Linked DNA regions of Coturnix japonica. The protein of the gene in region 1 interacts with the protein of each later gene in a pairwise test. Links are inferred from orthologs where the notes say so. Each region holds a gene or a part of one and is shown on either strand. Other genes may lie near its edges.

The links.
Region 2: the proteins of CSDE1 (region 1) and HID1 interact in binary tests that used the Homo sapiens proteins (3 or more experiments, as listed by UniProt). The two-hybrid records come from large-scale screens. The link is inferred for Coturnix japonica from reciprocal best matches to the Homo sapiens genes CSDE1 and HID1.

Annotation. Positions count from the first base shown.
Region 1 is NC_029541.1:3,912,594-3,916,410, forward strand, and holds part of CSDE1 (cold shock domain-containing protein E1), read right to left. Parts: intron 3,540-3,817; coding exon 3,442-3,539; intron 3,303-3,441; coding exon 3,221-3,302; intron 2,883-3,220; coding exon 2,754-2,882; intron 2,589-2,753; coding exon 2,463-2,588; intron 1,999-2,462; coding exon 1,786-1,998; intron 1,110-1,785; coding exon 969-1,109; intron 881-968; coding exon 722-880; intron 22-721; coding exon 1-21. UniProt on the Homo sapiens protein: RNA-binding protein involved in translationally coupled mRNA turnover.
Region 2 is NC_029533.1:9,276,098-9,279,914, forward strand, and holds part of HID1 (protein HID1), read right to left. Parts: intron 1,558-3,817; coding exon 1,408-1,557; intron 783-1,407; coding exon 612-782; intron 1-611. UniProt on the Homo sapiens protein: May play an important role in the development of cancers in a broad range of tissues.

The DNA.
Region 1 (3,817 bases):
AATTATTCCATCTTCAGCTTCCTAAAAAAAATAATAAAAAATAAAAATGACATCAGGATTCAGCAATTGGTGTCTTATTTGCATGCAAACAAACTTAGTATATACAATTCAAGCACTGAACATTTACTTGTTCTGCAACAACTGCAAAGTATCTGGTAAAAACACAGACCAATAAACTCTAAGATGATCAAAAGACACAAGCTTTAAATGGCAAACTGTAGCTTTCACCAGACAGTGCTATTACTTTTTCTCTAACAATACTATTTCCATTAATTATTTACTGAAATAAGTAGGAGGAGCAATCTTCCCATTAAGCTCTTGGAAGTTATCCTCAACAGAAACATCACCAACAGTGTTTTTGTTATATTGTTTTGCTTAAGTTAGCCATCACTAAATATTGTAATTAGCAATCCAATATATTTATATCCATTATTATATCCATTATATCCATTTATTATTTATTTATTTATTTATATATTTTATATATATATATATTTATTTATATCCATTATTTATATCCATTATATCCATTATATCCATATATCCAATATATATATTTATATCCAATAAATCCAATTTTTATATCCAATAAACATATTTATTGGATATATTTATATCCAATAAATCCAAATTTATACGAGACACAAAGTGCTTCAGAATGTAGACTTTAAAGCAGTGGTCTCTGCAAAGCCAGAAACGCAATATATTACTCGTGTACTACCTTCTCTTTGCCTTTATTTGGGCTAGTGGCTTTGGCTGGAGTGGCTTCTTTGTCTATAGTGCCCACAAAACGGTGATCCGATTGGGTGTGGAAAGAAACTGTGCCTTTTGGAAGTTTTTTAATCCTTATAGCATGATTTCTTTGGGCAGACAGCATATCCTGGAAAATAAGATCAATGTGATTTTAGATAAACTGCATATAAATGCTTCTGTGAAATCCTGGTTTTCAAAGAAATTGGACCACTCACAGGAACCACAGTGAACTCTACTTCATCAGAAATATGGAGTTGGTTTCCGTCCATAATTTCACTGAAGTGAAAGAACATGCGAGCATCCCTGTCAACACACTTAATGAAGCCAAAGCCATCTCTCATCGCTGCAATCACACCCTGTAAATAGAAGGACAATTACAGTTTTACTATGTTGACATTTGTCTGTAAAAAGACAACGATGAACACAAACCTCAAATTCTAAAAACAAACTACTCAATAAACTTCTTTACAAACTGTAGTGCAAATGGTTACAGGCAACCTAAAATGCAAGCAAACCCTATTTAACTAGTTTTTTTCTACTTTCTCCCTGATTCATAAGTAGTAAGAAGTGAAAAAGATGAATTTAAGTCACAAAAGGACAACAGATAGCCAAAGAACTGAAAGTTACTGCTATAAACACACACACAGGTTAGGTCTTCTAGCACTTTTACCAGAACAAAAGATGTTCTTTCATAATGATAAGCACAACTATCTCAGTCACTGTGACCCATTAAGAGCTTCTCTGCACATCACAGAATTCAGCTCTTTATCACCCTTCTGTCTGATCCTCAGGCAGAGATTGTACAAAGAACACAGAAGATCAAGATTCAAAAGCTGTATTTAGTACCTCCTCTGATTCTTAAGACTTTCCATTGCCTGAACCAGAGCAGCATCAGGTTCTACCAGTTTTGCTAAGGAAAATGAGCTTTTAATTTGTTCATGGCTGCATGACTGCTCTTCCTGCTATAACCAAAGAGCAATCCACTCCAAGGCAACAGACACTGGCAATTTTTACACTGTTACAGATACTCACCATTTCCCTAGTTTCATTAGTAAACTGGAAAGTATTGGGGAGAACCTCAATATTGGTGGCTCGTTCCAGTTTGTCACGTCTGTCTGTCGAAATATTGAATCGAACGTGGTCACTTTCCAGCAAAGTCACCTTGGATTTTGTATCTTTGTCTCCAAATGGAAGTTCTTTAGGAATCACAAAATCAACTTTGATGCGGCCAGGTAATGGATCATTCTAGAAGACAGAAAAACGCAACAGAAAAAGTTAGTACACCTACAAGTCTCAGCACACAAAGCTTTATTGAGCCCCTATTTAGGTTAGGAAGGCATCATGTTTGAGTGACCACTTCTAGATCACACTGTCACGACTAGAATTTAACTTACTTATCAGATGAACCAAACTGACAACATAACTAAAAATTTATGTTGAGAATTAAGCTCATAACCACATTTGCCACGCTTCTGAGAGGCCTTACTGCTGTGTATTACCCTATTTCCTGGTCCTTTAAATTTTAGTGGAAAAAACCCTGCTTGCTGTGACTGCTGTCAACGGTTGGTACAAGTTAAGCAGTCCAAAATTACTCTGCAGTGATCTCTAATGTGATACTTAACAGCAGACTACCACAGACAAAGGGGAACATTTGTACTATGACTGGAAATCAATGCAGCATTTCCCTTAAATTTAATACTGAAACACACCTGGTTTTTGCTGGGTACTTTTGGAATTACTTTGGTTACAGTTCCTTCAAAGTGTTCTATGCTGATATCTTCAAAAATGACAGTTCCTTGTGGCAGCAGTCTTACATCTGTTGCAACTTCTTTACCCTAAAAGCACAAAGTCAGTCAAATGTCCCTAAAGAAGTGACAAAACAATAAGATCACTTTCCTATGAACCCTGCCCCCCCACCCTCCCCTTTTTTTAAGGTGAATCTGAATAAACAGGCAGCTGTCCAGGATCTTGTCTTCAGTTTTAACTGGAGTTCATCTTACATTTCTGTCTTTGATTGTAAACTCCACATCATCACCAGGCTGTAAGGCTTCTAGGTCACCTTTAAATTCACTATAGTGAAAGAATATCTCCTTCACGACATCACCCCTCTCAATAAATCCAAAGGCTTCCTAAGAACAGAAGAAAGTGTTCAGTAGATTGCCCAATGTCTCAGTGTATTATTAAGAAAACATTTTACACATTCTAACAGTAAGACAACACCGCTTCAGTACAGCAAACTTGAGTGCATTCAGCTCATACTATAGCAAATACATTACAGGAAACAATCCCACCTATCCTGTTTTCAAGGAGTGTGTGTACTCAAGATTAGCTGTTTAAACTGCTTGACCTGGTTTACATTCACACATCCAAAATGTTAATAGTTCTTAATGCACTGAATTTACTATTTAGAGAACTTGACAGCAAAGAATTTCATCTTTTAATATTTTGAAGCTGAAACATCACTTACTTTCATGGCACAGACAACTCCTTGACAACGGGCTTGCTTCTTTTTTAATAGCATAATGTTACGAGCACTTACAGCACCAGTACTAAAGGGAAAAAAAGAACAAAGCTGAAATGTCTGAAAACCAGAGGCAATATTAAGATTATACTTCATGTTATTTCAGTTCTTGGAAAAGGCACAAAGTGCTGCCCGACCACTGAAAGAGAAACATGATATCAACTTACTGTTTATTCGTATCAATTACAAAGTTTATTTTATCTCCTGTTTCCAGCTGAATATTTCCTTCAACATCTTCTGGAGTGTAAGTCAGGTAAAATACTTCCTGTAAATTAACATTGTCTAATATTAATCCACTCGTCAATTCAAAGGATGATTAGCATATTTTTGTTTAGAAGCAACAACTGCTTTTATATAAATGGATTCAGTGAGAAAACGGAAAATGATCAAACATGGCATGCAAAAACATTCTTTCTTCCATTGGGCTGCTTTTGAGCCTGTAAAAAGCAACTGAATTGAGAGGTTTGTAGGTGGCCATCTTGAAATGCCAATTCCTGAACTTTAAGGATATGTGAACATTACACAATCCAGCTTTGTTCAGTT
Region 2 (3,817 bases), on another chromosome or scaffold:
CTTGAAGCGACCTCAAGCGAAACAGATTAGAGGTAACAGCAGAGATAGCAAAACGTTTGTACTGTACCAACCACTGCCAACTCCCTATAAACTTTCTCCAAAACACTGCAGCACATGTAATGCTCAGGGGAAACCACGTGTTTCAGCATGGTCACGCTGACCTGCAGATTCAGAAATCTCCAGGAGAGCGCTCTTCATGCATAAAACAGCAGCTGCCAAGGGAGAAAGCAGGTAAACATGTATTCCTTGCCTACCTCAGTTATGCTTTCAGCGGTATTTCTCTCATTTGCAGAACACACTAAAGCATGTTACCCTGATCCTTTCCACACTGATTTCAGTTCATACTTTCCATACTGGAAAAGCCTTCCCTCACATACCAGCTCTCTCCTACAGATACACACCCAAGTGAAAACCTCAGGTGACGCAGAGACCTGTGCTAAGCAGAGCAGCTGAGGGCGAGAGCACCAAGAATCAAAGAAAAGAAACTGACTTAGAAGATGCCACCTAGTTTCTGCATAAACAGAAATAACAACAGTGCAGCTGTCCTCAAACGCTTCCTTGCTTCCTCCCGCTCACCCTCCAGAAAGGAGAATAAGTGCCAAGAGACAGACCCCTCCTCGGCCAGCCCCAGGGACAGTTGACCAGAAGAAACCTCTCCAGTCCGGGTCCTCAAAGATGTAAGGCAGGATACGAGTGAGGAGCCGACTGCAGTTCAAGACGATTTGCCTCTCCTTCTCTGTGTGGCAGCCACTCTCTGCTCCCTGCACCAACTTCTCCACAGCCTGCAGGAAATAAAAGAGAGGTAGCATTAGCTTGGACAGGAGCAAAACTGCACAGCTCTGACCTGCTGGTGACATCTTCACATAGATTTATAAGCACTGCTAGGAATCCATTTCCCTGAGTTCAATGGTACCGCCTCCATTGCTGTTAGAAATACTGAGGTAAACAATCTTAACCAGACCTTCTTCAATTTCTTGTCTCACCACAAGGGATCTTACATGTCAGGGTAACCCACACAGCATAAGCGTTGCATGGATAGAGAGCCACAACACCTGCAGGTTCCCTCCAGCACTGACAGCAGAAGTAGAACTAAGGATTCACCATGCAGCTTTTTAATTCATGGGGTCATATTCTCCACTTAGTTTCATAGCAGACTGTCTGGGCTCCTGACTCCGATCGCCTGCATCACTGCCCTTATGGATATGTAAATGCTGTTTGTACAGCCTCAGCCCATCCACGCACAACTCTGTGACTGTGCGTAAATATTTTTCCAGGCACATTTATGACCCTGCACAGCAGGGATGGAGGCTGAGTCTCCAGCTGTGACTGCAGATGACCTCTCAGCCATGCTGCTGTGCTCCCCACAAATACACAGCACAGCACCAAGGAGGACGACGCCATCCTCACCTTATAACACAGAGTTGCCAAGTTGGACGGTGATTCCTCTCTCACTGCTCGGATCTCTGCAGCTGGCACAAGGGCAAAGACATCCTGCACTGACGTGGCTGTGTCTGCCCAGAACTGGTCCCAGAAGGCATCATCCGTTGCTTCCACAGGCTGCAAAGAGACAGAGCTACAGAGGCAGAACCAGCATCCAGTGAGCTCCAAACATCAGTGACTGCAACCGGACTGGGGATGCAACCATCACCACAGAGAACAATAGAGGATAAATAAAACACCAGCACTGATTTATATTCCACTTTTTTTAGTTACCAGAGCCTTGGCTGATGGGAACCTCCCAAACAGAGCACTCCCTCAGCATTGGGGGGTGACCATTTATGTGACCAAGCACATCAGACTTGGACATTCCATGTCTTCCGCAGAGCCACAACACATCACCTGAACCCGCAGAATGTGATGCGTCACCACCACCGGAGGGCAGCAAGCGAGAGGAGCCAGCGCGGCTGCCAGGCTGGTGCAGCAGCTACTGCCCCCGGGCTCTCCTATGTGCTCCTGTAGCCGAGAGGCTCATGGCTCACCCCACTCCTTTCTGCCATGCAATGAATCAGCCCAAGCTACTCTCCACTCACAACCGAATCCATGAGTTAAAGCATCTTCTGCTCTGATGCTGAAGTCCTCTTTATTTTACCGCCTGGCCACCAAACCGAATTCCTACCGAGCCCTTTTCCAAGGAAGACAGACTTTTTCTAAGGGATGGGAGATGGCAGCTCCTCAGCGGGATGTGCAGGACAGCCAGCTGCCTGCAGATGACTTGCAGCAGAACTCGGCTTCCTAAGCATGCAAGAGAGCTGCACTATCTCTCAATCTGTGCACAGAATGCCTAAATGGAGAGAGGAGAAAAGCTATTTGCAAGTCAGATCTCTAATTATGCTCCTCAAAAAGAGCCAAGTACTTGGGAACACAACTATAATGCAGGAAACATCCTCCACTTCCTACATCCCCTTCCAAACCGGGCACCACAGCGGCAGGGCTAATTGCCATGTGCACCTGCTGGCTGCCTGCCACAGCCACTCCCAGCAGCAGGGAGCAGCAACTCCTGCTAACAGGAGATTATGCATCAATAATGGCTTCACTCTCATCTAGAGGGGAAGGAGAAAACCATTTCCCTGCAGCGTACACAGAACCTTTTCCTGCCTGTATCTTCCCTGGAGGCTGAACACAGCGCTGCTCCACAGCCAGCAGCGTGACAGCTACGACTGTCTCCAACAAGAATTACATAGAGATGGAGGAGCACACAGCAATCACCCGAGCTGCAATGTTGGATTCTGCAGCAGCAGTAACGTCTGCCATCTTGGCAATGAGGTTATGCTAAAACACCATTTCTTTGCTTTTTAATAGCTGCATTAAGTCATCTCCCCACCCAACAGATGGCATCCCATGCACAGTCCTAGGGCACAATGCAGCACTGACTCACCCGCAGCCCCCCTGATCTAATGAACCGTCTGGCATCATAAAGCCATTTGATGCACGTAACATTCATCTCCCAAGAACATTGGTGGATGTTTTAAAGCTGACTGTGTTCTGCGTACAGCATCTCCTGAGACCTAAACTCCCACCTCCTTGTGCTGAGCTCACCCAGCAGCCTGTGCGTAGCACACAGGAAAGGGAAGCACAGCGACCTGGAACAGCCCCATTCACTGATCACCTGCTGCTGAAACCACGTCTGTACTGAAGGAAGGAGCTGCCTGCAGCACTGACTGCTGCTGTGAGCACAGCAGGCAGCATTAAATGGATGCGATGGCTCACAGCGGACAAGGGAGGTTTTTATTTTTGCCTTCTGTTCACCTCCACAAGGCTGACCTCCCACCTGCACACTGGCTGCACAAAGCAGAGTCAGTCCTGCAGGCACATCCAGACTTTATTTCCCCAGTAGTTATAAATTAGGAGTTTCAGGTGCTCTAAAACACACCATCCACACACTGCAAGAATCAGAAAGGGAAGCCGTGTGAATTACAAGCATCTCGCCTGTTAGTGAGCAGGGAATCACAGCCCTGCACAAGCAATCCTAACAAACAGGATGTGCCATAGGAAGAAAGAACACGGTGCCGAGCTGACCACTTCCTATCAACAGGAAAAGCTCCCAGAGCGCTGCCTCCCCTGTGTGTTACCGCCCTCAGCACAAAGCTTTTATCGTCTTCACTTTCACACACAGCGCCTTGTCACTTTCCATACAATTCCTCACCAGCTCAGGCAGCACTGCACCTTCACATCCAACGTCTTATATCCAGCACCCGTTCCCAGCTGCCCCTATTAGAGGACCATCCTCCAGTATTCACTTCGTGCCACCGTGCTGACCAGCCCAGAACATTTGTGTGTAGGGACCATCATTCACCCAGGACTCGATGCCCGAATTTCC